Linked DNA regions of Drosophila melanogaster. The protein of the gene in region 3 binds, or shares a complex with, the protein of the main gene of each other region. Each region holds a gene or a part of one and is shown on either strand. Other genes may lie near its edges.

Region 1 (4,671 bases), on a different chromosome or scaffold from region 3:
TTGGGGCAGTTTCTGGAACGCCGGACGCTGGGGTTACAAGTGCTGCAAGTCCTTCATCAAGAACTCCTACTGCGTGGGCATGCAGGAGCCAGAGGGCTACTCGGAACATCATTCTACGAGCTCCACTGCAGCGGCTACTACAGAACCTGCAGCTCAAAGCCAATTCAAGGTACCAGAAGTGCCACCTGAAAGGCCCACTTCCGAAGTGGACTCAGCATCGAGTTCGGAACCCTCCTCATCCGAAGAGGAGGAGGTAAAACCTGAGAAGAAGAAGACCAAGAAGAAGTCGAAGAAGCGCGAGAAGAAAAAGAAGGCTAAGGAGCAGCGAAAACAAAAAGGCAAGAACAAGGAGACCAAGGACAAAGATAAGACAAAGGAAAAAGATATTCCCGAGGAACTGGACGATCGCAAACGAGCCTATAACAGCATGTATGATGTGAAGGCGCCCACAGAGGACGAGATCGAGGAGTGGAAGAAGAAGCGGCCAAGGGCAGAAGATCCCATGCTGCAATTTATGTAGGCAATAAAGTACAACTGATTCTCTTATATAAAAACTTTCTAATCTTAACAAGTAAAACATTAGGGGCTTACACAAACGTCATTTTGAATATTAAACGATCGCATACTGCTCGTACAGCAACTCCCTGATCTTGTAGTACTCCTCGGATAAGCATCCCTCCATGGCTACCTTGCCGGCATCCACTCGCCTCAAGGCCAGAGTTCCGTTGCTGCACCAGAGCACGCCGCCGGAGAACTCCGAGTTGATGTTATTACGCATGAGAGTCTGCTTAAAGTCGGACAGTTTCAGCTCGTTAATGAGCACTGAGTTGTGGATAGGAATCTCATCGTCCGCCAGTGTTTCAAGAGTCAATGTCTTGCCTTCTTGCACGGAAGCGTCCTGCTCCACAGTTACGTCCATGGGTGCTTCGATGGCCTTCACCCGCATGCCCAGGCGACCATCCACCCACGCCACCTCCGCGTCCTTGCCCTTTTGGAACTGCAGCTGGGAGACAAGTCCTTCCGTCAGGCGTACCTGATAGATGTGAATCTCACTGGTGACATCAATGATTTCCCCCTTCTGCGGAGTAAAAACGCGCGCACCGACATTCTGTTCGCAGTGCCTGGCCACCACTTGTGTGCCTTCGGCAGTGCCGTGTATGACGATAACCCTTCGTGGCCTCAACTGGGAGAGGATCTTTAGCATGGACTCGCCATCAGAGCGACCTTCGAAATCGATCCTCTGGACTTGGGCATTCACCTCGATTGTTTTGCGTTGGCTTATCAGCTTGGTGGGCTTCTCCAGCAACTGAACATCATTGTCGACGATTCCTCCGTTAGCCTGTTGTTCTGCTCCTATGCCCGGTTCTTCCTTTTTAACATTCTCCTTGTTTTGCTCCTCCATAGGTACAAACTCATAGCCTGTCGCATCCGCAATCCGGTAGTCGTCTAGATTGATGATCTCCCCATACTCATCGCACTTCACCTTTTCCTCGTGATAGGGGAACATCACGTGGTGTCGTTTGTTGGACTTGAAAAAACCGGAGTGATGGCGACCCTCCGGTCTGACCACAATATCATGCTTGCCCGTGATGACGCTCATCTCGATGTCGTCCTCGGACTCGGAACTGCTCTCTTCCTCCACATCGGGCTTTACGATAAGGGGATTAAGTTTCTCGCCCTGTGTGCGTAGGTACTCCTCCAACTCAGCTCCTTCTAAGTCAACTCTTCGCCTGACGTCCAATTCGATTTGCTTGCCCGGTGCGCAGTTCTCCACCAGTTCCATGGCTAAAGTGCCGGGAGACGTACGAGTAGTAAGGATTATGCTATTGTTGGCATTGCTGGCCCATTGCACGAAGAGATCCCTCGTGAATCCGCTCTCCAGATCTGGGGTACTGGCCAACACCACTTTTGGACCAGCGGGCAATTTATAGACGTCCGCCAGTGAATGGCACAGCTGGATGTGCTTGAACTGAAAGGGATTGTTGCGGGCACCTTCGAAAGCCTTCGTGAGCTTGTCACTCATCCATTCTATCTGCGACTTGGCGAACTCAATCACGTTGTAGCTCACATTGTTAAGAAGGGCCAGGGAGTAGGCCATTAGCCCAGATTCCTTGTTCTTCCACAGCTGGTCCAGCATGTGGGCCAACTCCAGGACTCGTCCTGCCGTATCCACGGCTATCAGGACATTGCCGTTGTTACGCACCGTTTGCAGGATGTTGGTCATTAGCTTTTCATCGCGGGCCCTCCTTCTGGCCTGCTGGTACTGTGCGTTGTAGGCGTCGGTAATGAGCAGCGAAGGTCTTTGCAGCCTGTCCAGCTCGCAGCCACTTAAGTGGCGCTCCTTCTTATGGTTGAAGTCGGTGGCGTACACAATATCCTCCTCGCCCACCTTGACGATCTTCCAGATGGTGCCGCCGATCATGTGTCCAGCGTTCAAAGGCGTAATGGATATTCCATATCCTTTGTCCTTCAGTGAAACTGTTTGGTTGTATTTCAACTGGGTTATCTTTTCGAAAGCCGTGTCCACGTCGTCCAGCGAAAATAGATCGAAGTCTCCCATATTGAAGTGCGACATGTAAAGGTCATACATAAACATTTGACCCATTTTGAACACGGGAATGGTGGCGTAGATGGGGCAATTGAGCCCCAGCTTGCCCACCAAGTATGGCAGGGCTCCAAGATGATATGCATCCGGATGGGATAGCAGCACGGCGTCCAGGGTGTGCACCTGCCTGGGAATACACAAAATATTTAGGTTATTGTTTTCCTGAAATATGTATACAATTGTCACCTCTTCAGTTCCTTGATAAAGTTGGCATCGAACTTTTCGTCCCATCCGCAGTCAAGTAATATCCGCACATCGTCTATCTGTAGGATATAGCATGGCGGGGACTCGTCCATCGCCCCAGATATAGTGTGCAGCTTGATAATGGAGGTCATTTTTGCCAATTAAACCACCGGTGCATTTGTTTAAGAAATTGTAAAAGGAAACCAAGAGTTCTTCGCCGGTTCAGGGATGGGAAACTGTCACGGCGTTGCCAGAGTGCTGTTGCTTTGTTTATACAGTACGTACTTGTTGAGCGAACAGTACAACCCGATAATAAACAAAGATTGACATTTTAAATGTTATAAATTAAAAACTTTGATTATGTCTCTCATGTATTAACCATACATACATATGGCTACAACCTTCTTCAGTTCAATTACCTTCTCTTTAATGAGTCAACATTTATAACTATGCATCCTTATCAATAGAAGTCTCAACAATCTAGTATAAGTAAACACAACTTTTTATCAAATTATTGTTTAATTAATAAGGGTGGGGTAGAGTCATGCCGTTTTAAAGAACCATGGATGCCCAATCGGTTGCATACTTTTTATAAAAACAACTTCTTATGCTATTTTGTATTAAAGGCATCCTAAAAATTGATTTCATAAACATTTTCTTTTTGGTTAGTAGACTTTAGTTGTTCGTAAAAACCATTTAAAAAATTAATGAATATTATGTGAGAAAATAAACCAAAAAAAAAACAATTCGAGCTGGTGAAGTTTCACTGTCTGTTGGTTTATGCGTTGCGTCCCTGGTCGTCAGCTGTTATTCGCCAACCGGCCGCGAAGATTGCGTCCGAAATTAGGATGCGGAGTTTCCAAAGATCGCACTGAGTCAACTTTTCCTGCCAACAATGTTCGTGCGGCTCTGGGTCCGCAGCTTCCATAAATATGATCTTCTCATCGCCATCGGACTGATCACTCTCATCGTGTACCTGTGTCTGCCCTTCCGGTTCGCATCGCACTACGACTACATCGAGGAATCAAAGATCGAGGGGGCTCTGGTGCCGCAGGTGACCAGAAATGTCTCCCAGCAGGAAGTTTTCGAATGCACCTACTCGGAGATCATTGCCGAAAACCGGTTCGTCTACCACCTGGCCCATTACCATGACGCGGTGCAGAGGGGCGCGGAGATCCGTCCTGGCGGCGAGTTCCGTCCGGAAGGATGTCAGGCTCGCTACAGCACCGCCATCATTGTGCCGTACAGGCAGCGGGAGGAGCAGCTGCACGCCTTCCTCACGTACATGCACAATTACCTGCCGCAGCAGCTGATCCACTATCGGATTTTCCTGGTCGAACAGTTCGATCATAAGCCGTTTAACAGGGCGATGCTCTTCAACATTGGCGCCCAGGTGGCTGCGGAGTATGGATTTCCCTGCCTCATCCTTCATGACGTGGACCTCCTGCCACTGAATTCGGGTCAAATATATGCCTGCTCCGAACGTCCACGGCACATGAGCTCTGCCCTGGATCACTGGCGATTCCGACTGCCTTACCGCGGTCTTTTCGGCGGCGTGGTGGCCATCAACACCGCCCAGTACCAGCAGATCAACGGCATGTCCAATCTGTATTACGGCTGGGGCGGAGAGGACGATGACCTCTACGAGCGCCTGCAGGCCCTGAATATCGACATTTGCCGATTCGCAATGGAGTTCAGTAAGTACACCATGCTGAAGCACAAACAGGAGCAGCCGAATGCCAATCGCGTGGCACTGCTGAGATCGGCGACTCTGCGCCAGCACGCGGATGGACTCAACTCACTGGTGTACACGGAAATGGAGCGGCGAATGCACAGTTTGTTCACGCACATCCTGGTTGATACCTGAGTGCCAGTATTTGTTA
Region 2 (7,969 bases), on a different chromosome or scaffold from region 3:
ACACTAGAATAACAAGATGCGTAACGGCCATACATTGGTTTGGCACTATGCAGCCAATTTTTTAGCGACGGCCAAAATTGCTCTCTTTCCGCTCACTCCCGCTGAGAGCGTAAGAAATCTAAAAATTTAATTTGCTTGCTTGTGTGAGTAAAAACAAGAGTCGAGAACTCGTATATGTGTGCGTGTTGTGCTAGAAGACGATTTTCGGGCCGAAATCAATTCTGATCGAAGAAATGAATTTACATAGTACATATTAGGGTAGTTTTTGCCAATTTCGTAGCAATATGATAAAATAAAATAATTTTTAAAAATTCGCGCCCTGATTATTATAATTTTAAAGCTTTTTAAATTCGTTTGTATAAATCGCCGCTCGAATTAGCTATCGTTTACACATTTATATTTATGTTTAATTCTAATTTGTCTCTCATCTGACAATTTTTTAAAAGCGAAATATTTTTTTTGAAACACTTTTAATGTTAATGTTACATCATATTAAGTCAAATGACTTAATAAATATACTAAATAATTAAATATGATAACTGTTTATTGCAAAAGTAATATCAAAGACACTAGAATTATTCCAGTGTCTTTGCTTTGTTCATATCTTGAGGCACGAAGTGCGGACACCAAGCACTCAACAATCATTGCCTTATTAATTTTTCACACGCCGCAAGATGAATACTCTAATGACAAATATTCTTATATAAAGTCATTTTTGAAATTTATTTTTGTGATAATATGTACATAGATTTGACTATTTCTAATCTATTTTCAAATAATAATAACGTTAAGGCAATGCAAAACAAGAATTTTTCGCATGGTGCCAATTGATCAAAAATAATATAGATTTAAAGTCAAAGAACTTCTAAGGTGAAGGGCATATTTTGTCAAATTTACAATGCATGAGCATACGTGTGCACACATAAAGTTGTCTGCTATCACTGTATGCGTAGAAAAGAGCGGTTCGCTGTAGCGCTCTTCGCTCTCTCGCTCTCTAACAAAAATTCGAGAGAGCCTGGAGCCACCTCTAGAGCCACGGCCAAAAAATTGTGTGCCAAAAAATCGTATGGCGTTACGCATCTTGTTATTCTAGTGTCTTTGATTAGACCCAATACTTCGGCCATCCATGTTTTTGTCTTTAAGATAGCATACATTTTTAATTGTATTATTGATATACAGTCCAACGAGCTGCCATAGCGCTCAGAATTGTGTTCCAGACCACCAAAACCATAAGAAACTCCAAGTTTACTTAACAAAATACTTTGTTGTGCCTATAAAACTAGATTTACAATTGGGAAACTCGTAACATAAATTACAAATACAACTATCAACTAAAACTTTACATCTTTCACACTATAGGATGTCTAAAAAACGCTGGCTAGTCGTTCGATTTCCAGCAAATCCCCCAAGATTTCTTCAGTGCGCGTGCCAATCTTTTTCGCCACTTCATTGCGTTCCGAATTGGCCATTAGTCGATATGACCAAATTAAATCTCCGTCAATGATGCAGCGAGACGGGTTGATGCCTTGTTTCTTGGATGACTTGAGAGTGCGGTATTCCTTGGGATTGAGGCCGCAAAGGTGTTCCTGATAGGAAAGGAGCACATTCTGCAACATAAGGAATCTCCTGTAGACTTTCTCGGGAAGGGGCAAGCAATATCCCAAAGCTCCATCCAGCGTGCCATAAACTACGAAATGCTTGTTTTCGTAGAGGAAGGGTTGTCGCTGATGCAATCCCTTTTGATGGCACTGCACCCGAAACATGGTGTTTACCACCTGACCCAGGTGATAATCCGCCTTGCGGAGAAGTTTTTGGCCACCCAGTGATTCCCTGGCCTCCGGCTGATACATGTAGACAATTATATTGCGCTCGGCATCGGTCACCAGGAAACCCAGATTTGAGTTATCCACCATGAATTCAATTCCATAAACCTCCAGAGGATTAAAATCTCGCGAGGCCAGCGACAATGTGCGATACTCCTCCTGGAAGCGCAGCAAACTTATGGATTTGTAAACATCTGCAATAAAAATCAGGGATTTCACGGTGATAATCTGATGGACATAGATATTTGTATCTATAAAAGCCACTCCAATAAGGTCTCCATCACGAAGTTGCCAAATGTAGATCTTCTGGCCAAGTCCCGTCACCAGAAAACCCAAAACATCTGAAATGGCAGAAACTGGTCCCTTCTGCTCCTTCTTAAATATTTCCTTTATCTTGAATTTGGTCATCGGTTTTCCGGGTTCGGGAACCACTTCTATAATATCATATATATGAATATTTCCTCTGCTGGTAATATCCTCACTGTAATTAAAGTTAGTTCCAATGCAAAGGTATTCCTTGAGTCCTGATCTTGTACCTTCGTAAGACAACTTAACGATCTTAAAGGCGGTGACGTGTTCCCAGGGCTCAAAGGTAATTGATGCATCTGGCACAATTTCCCAGGTTTCTGGTGATATTAAAACCATTTCGAATTGCGAGCCAATGGGGTAGATGAATCTCTCGCCACGGCTTTCCTCGGACAGCTCCTTATCCTCGCCGTTAAACCGATAGTACTTGGTCATCGGTTCCTCCGTTTGAGTGATTAGGCAATAAACCCGATTCTCGCGATGGTAAACAAGTTGTCTTGGTGTACATCTGAGAGGAACCTTTCTCACCGGCCAAACGGAGTCATAACTCAAGTAGCTGGGCAACACAGAGATCTTAAGCTCATAGGTTGTGTCAAAGTAAAGGAATCCATTGGGAATATTAACATTGTTGAAGGCAGCAAAGCTACGCACATCTCCGTTACCAAGCAGCCGATGTATGCGAAGTTCTCCTCGGAATGTTAGGAAAACAAAGCAAGGATTGACGCCGCATACCATAACGCCGGAGAGTCCTCCAACGTTGGCGAATGGTCGTAGTTTTTGGACATACTTTGGTTGCATTTGATAAGATTCTATCTCCTCCTGCTCATCGTTCTCATCCAAGTCAATATGCGTCGGCTGTTGGTCCAGCAAATTCAGTTGATCCATCTTTCGGAAACGTATCTTCAGGTGACCCTTGGGATATCGGAACACCTGGTATATTAGCAGCTCTACTCGAGTCCTGACCAAAAGTAAAGGTCTTTCTCCATTTAGACCCAAGCCTATTACACTCAATTCCAATGGCAGTGGAGAGTTAGCATGCTGCGGCATACAAGCCTGTACAATGCCCGCCTTCGAGTTCTCCTGCGTGGTCAGTGAAATCGGCACGAATTCCATTGCATCCGTAAGAACCATTGAACCATTGCCCACATCGTTTACGAGATACACAAGCTTCATGTCCGGCATTGAGTAGATCTCCAAGGTGCCACTCTGACGGGCAACCACTAACCAATAGCTGGGCTTTGCTTGCACAAGAAGGCGTCGCCACCAGTCCGAGTTCTTTTGTTTTGATTGTTTCGCCAAATCCGCCATGCTGTTCATCTTGAAGGCACTTCCGGCATCGCCGTAGAGCAGATCTTCTTCGTCCTCCACCTTCATGTTGGGCTCGGCCTTCATGTAGCCGCCAAAACTATGTCCAAATGCACTGTTTGAGCTGCCGGTCAGGTTTATATCATCACCTTTCACTGTGAATAGTCCTGATAAATCTTTATATGCCGAAATGGCAACCACTGCGGGTGAGCTGCTAATGGTATGCTTGTTGATAGCCAAACGAGGAGTTCCACGGGTTTCTCGCAGCGCTAATGTGATAACCTGACCGTTGAGCACTCGCAGGCAAACGTAGGGATCTGCTATGGACACCTGTACCACTGGCGAGCCCACATCAATGGGGACATTTTGAATTAATCGAGTTCCTTGCAATAATCTGACATGACGGGTGGTGACCTAATGAATAAAGAAATAATTATATACAAAATACCATTAATACGACCTCAAACTAACCTGAACAATGAACCGCTGCTGTCCGAGATTACCGACAAATATGGTCGGCTGGTTAACCGTAAAGCCCGTATTCTCGATTTCATTAATTTCCTGTCCTGTTTGTAAAACCAATGTAGAATTCCTTTGTGAAAGCAACATGAAATCATGCTGATCATTTCGCGAAGACTTCTTAGTGGCATCATCAAACACAGTCCACACATCGAGGCACCCATCTAACTCAAAGCTTGTTATGATTTGAGGATTAATGCAGTTTACAAATACGGACAGAGCTCCGTTTTTGCTGTGACCCGTGGCAGCGACTAGTTCTATCTTTAGATCTTGCAGAGATTCCGCATGTGGTCGCAACGTAACGCCATCCTCTTCGAATTCCACTCTTTCTCCGGCGCACATGTAGTTGATTGGTGCTACATTCATTAGACTGTCGCACACCTCAAATATGAATTTTCGCAGCTGAAGAACCGATGCCTTAGCTCCAGAACCATACACCTGTAAAAACGATCAAATTTAAAAACAATTCAAAACTTTAAGTATATTGTTTACAAACCTCTAGTTCCTCATCCTCAATACGACGCGATTTTGCTTGGGTCGGTGCCATTTCCAATTGATCTACATCAAAAATTTCCTCCAAATTCTGATCCTCGTCCTGCAGATTCCTTTGCTGCTGCTCCGATTGCTGTTCCACCTCATCTAACGTAATGACCGTGCTCTGGTCCTCCTCTGTAAAGTGCAGCAATAAGGAATTTCCGAGACGTGATCCCAAAAATATGTATTCGGAGTGCAGAACGCAGATACAACTAGTTAGCACACTGGCGGCTGCTTTGTGGAAATGGAAGTTCCTAACCGTTCTCATTGAGTCAACGCAAAGCGTAAGCACGTATAGATCTCCAGTGCGAAGCGAGATTACCAGCTTGTCGACATCAATAAATGCAAAGTTAGCACAATCCAAACTAATACGAACGCCATCCTGTGGCTTCAGTGGAAATGCGGTGCTGTTATCCGCTGAACTGTTTAAACTGACGCCATATGGAGGGACACTCTGATTGAGATAGATTACAGCATTGACTGTCATTACCAGACAACCCCCAATTGGCTTCTGAATCGGGTAAACCTGCAAGGGAAAAATGACACATTAAACGTTGTGACTCCTAAAAGGTAAGTGGCATTTTCAAACACCCACTTGTAGGCAGTCAAAAGGTAGACTGTTCACGGTCCAAATAATCGGATGCACTCGCTGTTGAATGTTCAACGAAATGGCCACCAAAACGCAAGTATCGGAGCGCACCTTTATTCTTCCCGGACAGGTTCGCACCGGTTCGTAGAGTATAAGCAGCGTTGGTTCGTAGTAGCCGTGCAGGAATTGTATGTCCAGAACATTGTCGATCTTCTCATCAAGATCTCGCAGTGCTATCAGGTACGATGCCATAATAGGCGTCCTGCTGACCATTGCCGTCGGAGCCTTTTTAATTGGCTTCACATCCGCTAGCTCGATCTCGTCCAGGCTGTTGTCCTTGCGAAAGGGCAGTACCACCAGCCGTTTGCCGTAGACCAACATGACGGCACACCTGGAATCGGGATCTACGCGAACTGTGGGCACAAAATAGCGACCCGTCCAACCACCACGTATGTCATCTTCCTCGAAATAGTGAAGTGAGAGAGTTTTCAGCGCAAACGTATCGGGATCGTGCTGCAGTACGGACAATTTCGCGTCCTTGAAACTAATCAACAGCGCATCCCGCATGGCACCCGCCAATGAGACGCACTGCAGCGACATCACATTGCCGTAGAGCGTATATGTGGCTAGGCATTCCAGTCGCATTTTGGGCGCCAGACGCATCTCGCTGGGATTCAGCTTTTGACGCTGGCTCGCCTCCACGTTGGGCGCTATCCGGTACACCTTTAGTACATTGGCGCCCGCCACCACCAGGTTCTCATCCAGATTGTTAAAGAAGCGGCATGCTATCGAAAACTCCACCGCCGTGGCGGAGTGCGTCTGCTTGCACATCGAAAACATTGCGGTGGTTTAATTGGTGTCGCAATTTCTTAAAACATTATTAACAATTTCAGCCAGTTTAACAATTTGCCGGCCCAACACACACAGCAGCTGCGGAACTATCGATTGTGGGTGCAAAGTTATCGCTCATTGGATGTGAAAACTTGTTCGCCGTTTTAGTGGGTGGAATACCATATTGGCTTGATTTTTGTCTTGCTTTTTGTTTTAGCGGTTTTTAAGTATTTCGTTAGTTAATATCTTGCAAAATGTATTTGACCAAATAAAAGCTATATTTTTTTATCTGAACATGTAAAATGATACGTATGTTACGTATTTGCATAAGTTACGAGTCTAAACATTTAGAAATTATTTATAGTGCATTTTGGTCTTAGAGCTTGTATATTTTTATAACAATTATTTTGTATGCACACGTTATACAATTATATTATATATGTACGTAAATGTAACATAACTTAAAATCAAATAACCGCTACGTACGTAACGCTTCATATTTGCCAGCTTATTTCTAGCTACTTCTTGACCTGATCGTTCAATCGATAGTTGGCAGCCCTGGTGCGGGAGCAGTGACTGCGCAAATACATCCGCTCCTATCCGATGTATCGGATGCGACATCAACAACCCCATCGGACTTGGCAGGGCAGCCAGAAATTCGAGCGTTTTGCGTTTAAAACTGGCCACGAAAAAACATTAACTAGTTGGTGTGATTAGTGACTAGTGTTTGCGTTGTAGTAACTTAAACAATTTCATTCAATTAAACGCAGCTTTTCTGCATAGTGAGTGTGAGAGAGAAACGGGCGCTGCGCCCGATACGGGAAAACGCGTGCGCCAGAAAGGGACCGGCATAGTTGGCTAGAAAAGAATCATTTTGTAGCTGCTTTGTTTGTGTGTTTGGCATTCACATTTCCCCCATTCAATATTTAATTTAGTGAGCCATTAACGAGGCGGAAATCGGCATTATGCAAAAGATAGTGCTCTAGTACAGATCTAAATCCGTACCATAAATAGGTAAAATACCCGCAATTAGTTACTTAAATAGGAACAAAAGTCATTTTTCTACTTCTCCGATGTGCTAGTGTGCATTTGTGTGTGTTTGTGTGTATGTGTATGCGTGCGTGAGAAAAAAATATAACCAACTTTGCAGGTCGTTCGTATTTGTTGTTGTTACTGCTGTTACATTGTTGATTTGTTTAAAATTACTGCTGGCAAGTGAGAAAAGTCGTGAGGAAAACAAAAACAATAATTAAAACTAAGGCATAACAAACGGAAAAATCTCCGTATAGCCGCAATTTCATTACATATAAAAAAATAAAACACACGCACACACTTCTAACGAAATATATGCGCACATACATGCACACAGATGACGTACATACATATACAAAGGGCGCAACGTTAAAATTATACAGACACTTTTTGCCTTAAAATGGACAATTCGTTAGTGCAGCCGATCAGGATTAATTTCGTGCACTATAGTATTAACCAAAAACTAGTTTTGCCATCTAATATGGCATCTAAAATCGACTGGGAAGCTTGAAAATGTTAAAAACAAGCAATATTGGCTGAACCCCAACACGGATAAATCAAATAAACAAATTTAAATTTGAAAACTATAAGAAGTTACATTCATTTTTGTTACACATCATTTTGCATTTGTATATGATCATTGTCAAGTTGCCAAGCAATTTAAAGTAAAGAATTAATGCTCTGTTTTTAATTTATATCCAAATAAACCATCACATAACAAAACTATTTCATTGTTAACAAAAAAATAATATTAAATTATCTATTTCTCAACATTTCCAGTGTGTGCGGAAGAAACTTGCTTGACATGGGTGCATGGATCAAAAGTTCGCTGTAAATAGATTAGGCAGAGCGATTAACAATGAAAACCATTACGCCGGATACGACGACGACGACGTCGTCGCAGCACCAACAACTTCTCATTCCACAAGCGGATCAGCATCACCAGCCGATGCTGCAGCAGCAATCCCTGTTGGCCGCTCCACCGCCTACGATGATAATGGAGCATGTGAATCTGGTGGACGACGACGAG
Region 3 (3,373 bases):
CGGGCAGGGCGCGAGGGATGGACAAGGACATAGCACGATTGCGCAAAAATAAGGACACATCCCGCAGATGCGATGCCAAGCAAAACTCACTGCGATTAGGGAGCCATGGTGCATGAGCGCCTCGTCGTTGAGGTTCATGGGCAGGGGCACCTTCTCCTGGTCCGTGGGCTGTCCCCGCAGTTTTCCCAGAATTGTCATGGCTGCTCGTATGCTGTGTTCTTGATGCCTCCGCACGACCAACTTGTTTGTTTTTACTGAAAATTTAGTGCGCAATTGTTGACGAGCTGAAATCTCGATCCAGACAAGCCAGTGTGACCAGTTCTAATTCGCCTTTCAAAAGATGTGGACAAAAGTGAGGCAACTCTAGAGTGGTTGCAAACTTGGAAAAGACGATTCGCCGCCCAAAAATTCGAAACTTGAATCCGAAAAAAAATTGTGAGGCACAAATTGTTATCTTACAAACGAAAAAACATGATACATTTATATTTTTGGAGAAAACCCAAAACATACAACTAAACTCCCTTCCAAAACGAATTGCTTACTTGTATCTTATGGAAGTTTATTTCGCTGATAACACAATACGTTCTACTGGCAGTTCTAGGGACTTTTTTCAAAAATGCAAATGAGTTTCTTAACATACACTTTAAACACAGAATGATTGAAACGTTCGCCTGCGGAAGTTGGGAACCTACGACCTCTGGACTACACAGCGGACTATGCAGACCGCTTTCGACCTTTATTTCTGCACTCTTACAGTCTAATCATACAGAGCAGAGCGTCCTACTTATGACTATGTTGGTTAGAGAGGAAGGCGAGGTGACCCTTGGGACACTTGTTCGCGTAGTGGCCCTTGTTCCCGCACTTGTAGCAGGTGATCTCCTCCAGGGGCGTGGGCACCTTGACGAAGCCGGGACCATGCGGCTGACTGTGGTGATTGGATTGCATGTCATCGGCACCCTCGATGTGGCCGGAGTGTCCAGAGTAGCCGCCCGAGTGTCCGCCGGAGTGATCCATTGCGTTGATATTGTTGCGATGCTCCAGGCTGCCCACATACTGCTTGCACGAGTTGGCCTTGTGGCCCAGCTCGCCGCAATAGTGGCACGTGGGCAGTTTCTTGTGCAGCTGATCCTTACCCAGTTCCGCCAGCGGGGGCAGCTCGAAGTGCGGATGCATGTGCTTGCAGGACGGGCCCTCGGGGCAGAAGCCGGCTAGGTAGTCCATGCACAGGACACGGCGCAGATGCTGGTGCCGGCAGTGGGGACCGTGGCGGCAGAAGCCTCTCTTGTACCACGGACAATCCTTCACCTTGCTCTGCGGGTCGATGTGCAAAAAGGGACACTCTTTGTTGTGGCAGGCGTTGAACCTCGAGTAGAAGTAGCACTCGGGCATCTTGGTCATGTCGTACTCGTGCAGGAACTCGCACTGGTCGCCCTTCTTGCACAGTCCTCTCAGCCAGTGCTTGCACACGATCGTCCGGTCCCCGCGAATGTGTCGGAAGGGACAGGCGCTCCCTTTGTCGCACTCCTGTCCGTTCCTGGTGATGAAGTTGCAGACCGCCGCAATGGACTTGTCCATGCCGTAGAACGGCAGCGGGATGGCACCCACCTGCTCGATGAGGTCCCGCTCCGCCTTGAACTGCAGCCCACTTACGTTGGCCAAAAGGATGTCCATCTCTGACGGATTCGCGGATGCTCGGATAGATGAGGAAAAACTCCGAAATCTGGTAAACAATGCAGTTTCCTTCTTCTTTTTTTGCGCGTGTTTGTTGTTTCAGTGCGAATAGTGCTGACACGCAACCGGCGTTATCGATATCGATAGTTCGCAAGGCAAGACAGTCATGGCCGTCTAGCTGTTTATTAGCCAAATCTGTCCACTTCAGGGAATAGATATTTGTATATAAATATTTTTAGTCTCCAAATGTTTTTAATTTATAAGATTAGTCATAGTAAGAAAATACTTGTTTTTATGACCTTATTTAACTAAACCGCCATTAATAACATTTTAGCTATTTAGCTACAAAAGTAAGTTGATATTGGTCAGCACTGTTGGCGACTAAAGTATTACATAGAAATTAAGTATCCGCCCCGTTAGTGTTGCTGATAAAAGGGCTTATCTACAATGAACGAGCCAGTTTCAAAAATTTCACTTACACAAGAGCAACACTTGAATTGCTTCGAAATTTAAACATTAAACACTGAGTAAATTCGATAATGAACCACCCCCGCCGCCAGAGGCCGATAGTCAGCTGGTATCGATCACTTGTTTACAACTTTTCGCAATGTTTATAACGTAAGCAATCTGCGTGAAAAGCCATTAGTTAATTTGGGAGCGAGGAACTGAAAAATGAGGAGCGAGCGCCGCTGAAGAACCCAACCCGACCAACACCCCACGTAGTCCACCCACTCCAAAGGTCAAATGCTGCCTACTTACGAGCGCTTCAGTGATCCCAAAAGCGTCCTCTTCCGGCTTCCCTTTGCGCGACTGGCACTGGTGGCTCTTAGTTTGCCCCTGGGAGGCTTCTTCTTCTGCGTGATTTGGTCTCTGACCTTTGACTTCGTTAGGAGCACCTACACCCACTGCGATGTGACCAACTATCTGCCCTCCGTCTCGGCGGCCATTGGGAACTATGAGCCCCAAAAAACCGTCTGGAGACTGGCCATATTTCTGCATTTACCACTCCGTTTGGCAGTTGCCAAAATCTACTTGGAGCACTATCGGGAACACATCCGCCGGAGCAGAAGATTGCTGGGCATCCTGGCCTGCTTCTTGAACGTCGTGGAGGATCTGGCCCTCTTCTGCTTGTCGTTTTGGACCTCTGCGGATCATTACGAGACCCACAGAAACGCATTTGTGGTGTTCATTGCGTGTTCCGAGTGCTATATGCTGGTTTCCTACCTGCTGAACAGGAATATACAGAAGACCGTGCTCTTGCCGCACGAGGAGAAGTCGCTGAGGTACAAGAGAAATCTGTTCTTGGTGAATGTGATCGCCTTTGGCTTGGCAGGATACTGCTTCGTGAGGCACAACTCGCATTGCGAGGCGGGAGGTGAGTGGGAATCGGTTGTGAGTCCACTATTGTCTTATAATGAATCTTTTCTATCCACAGTCTATACTTTCTTCGCGTTGTTCGAGTACATCGTGGTGCTGACCAACATGGGGTTCCACATGACCTCCTACTGGGACTTCTACGCCCTGAATGTGGTGTGTGATGCCAAGCACGGTCTCTACCTATCACAATCGTAGACCAATGAACTAGATCAAACCCAGCCTGCGCCGCCATTTCAGCCAGCCAGTCGTCCTCGAGTATTGTGTACATACGCGGTATTAGCTTAAGCTCAATGTTTACTTAATTTTACCAAAAGGAAATTGCTTA

The links.
Region 1: Clp (region 3) and Cpsf100 share a complex: the UniProt entries of both Drosophila melanogaster proteins name them as parts of the cleavage and polyadenylation specificity factor (CPSF) complex.
Region 2: Clp (region 3) and Cpsf160 share a complex: the UniProt entries of both Drosophila melanogaster proteins name them as parts of the cleavage and polyadenylation specificity factor (CPSF) complex.

Annotation. Positions count from the first base shown.
Region 1 is NT_033777.3:29,032,932-29,037,602, reverse strand, and holds Cpsf100 (cleavage and polyadenylation specificity factor 100), read right to left. Parts: upstream 3,031-4,671; 5' UTR 2,941-3,030; coding exon 2,792-2,940; intron 2,733-2,791; coding exon 611-2,732; 3' UTR 541-610; downstream 1-540. Other genes in the region: Slu7, read left to right, coding at 1-520; beta4GalNAcTB (beta1,4-N-acetylgalactosaminyltransferase B), read left to right, coding at 3,684-4,655. UniProt on the Drosophila melanogaster protein: Component of the cleavage and polyadenylation specificity factor (CPSF) complex that plays a key role in pre-mRNA 3'-end formation, recognizing the AAUAAA signal sequence and interacting with poly(A) polymerase and other factors to bring about cleavage and poly(A) addition.
Region 2 is NT_033778.4:14,497,449-14,505,417, forward strand, and holds the start of Cpsf160 (cleavage and polyadenylation specificity factor 160), read right to left. Parts: upstream 6,041-7,969; 5' UTR 5,917-6,040; coding exon 5,083-5,916; intron 5,014-5,082; coding exon 4,450-5,013; intron 4,392-4,449; coding exon 3,906-4,391; intron 3,849-3,905; coding exon 1,365-3,848; 3' UTR 1,110-1,364; intron 1-1,109. Other genes in the region: Asx (additional sex combs), read left to right, coding at 7,799-7,969. UniProt on the Drosophila melanogaster protein: Component of the cleavage and polyadenylation specificity factor (CPSF) complex that plays a key role in pre-mRNA 3'-end formation, recognizing the AAUAAA signal sequence and interacting with poly(A) polymerase and other factors to bring about cleavage and poly(A) addition.
Region 3 is NT_033779.5:818,377-821,749, reverse strand, and holds Clp (clipper), read right to left. Parts: upstream 1,787-3,373; 5' UTR 1,672-1,786; coding exon 781-1,671; 3' UTR 541-780; downstream 1-540. Other genes in the region: CG3662 (uncharacterized protein), read right to left, coding at 91-198; PGAP2 (Post-GPI attachment to proteins 2), read left to right, coding at 2,416-3,046, 3,107-3,243. UniProt on the Drosophila melanogaster protein: Component of the cleavage and polyadenylation specificity factor (CPSF) complex that plays a key role in pre-mRNA 3'-end formation, recognizing the AAUAAA signal sequence and interacting with poly(A) polymerase and other factors to bring about cleavage and poly(A) addition.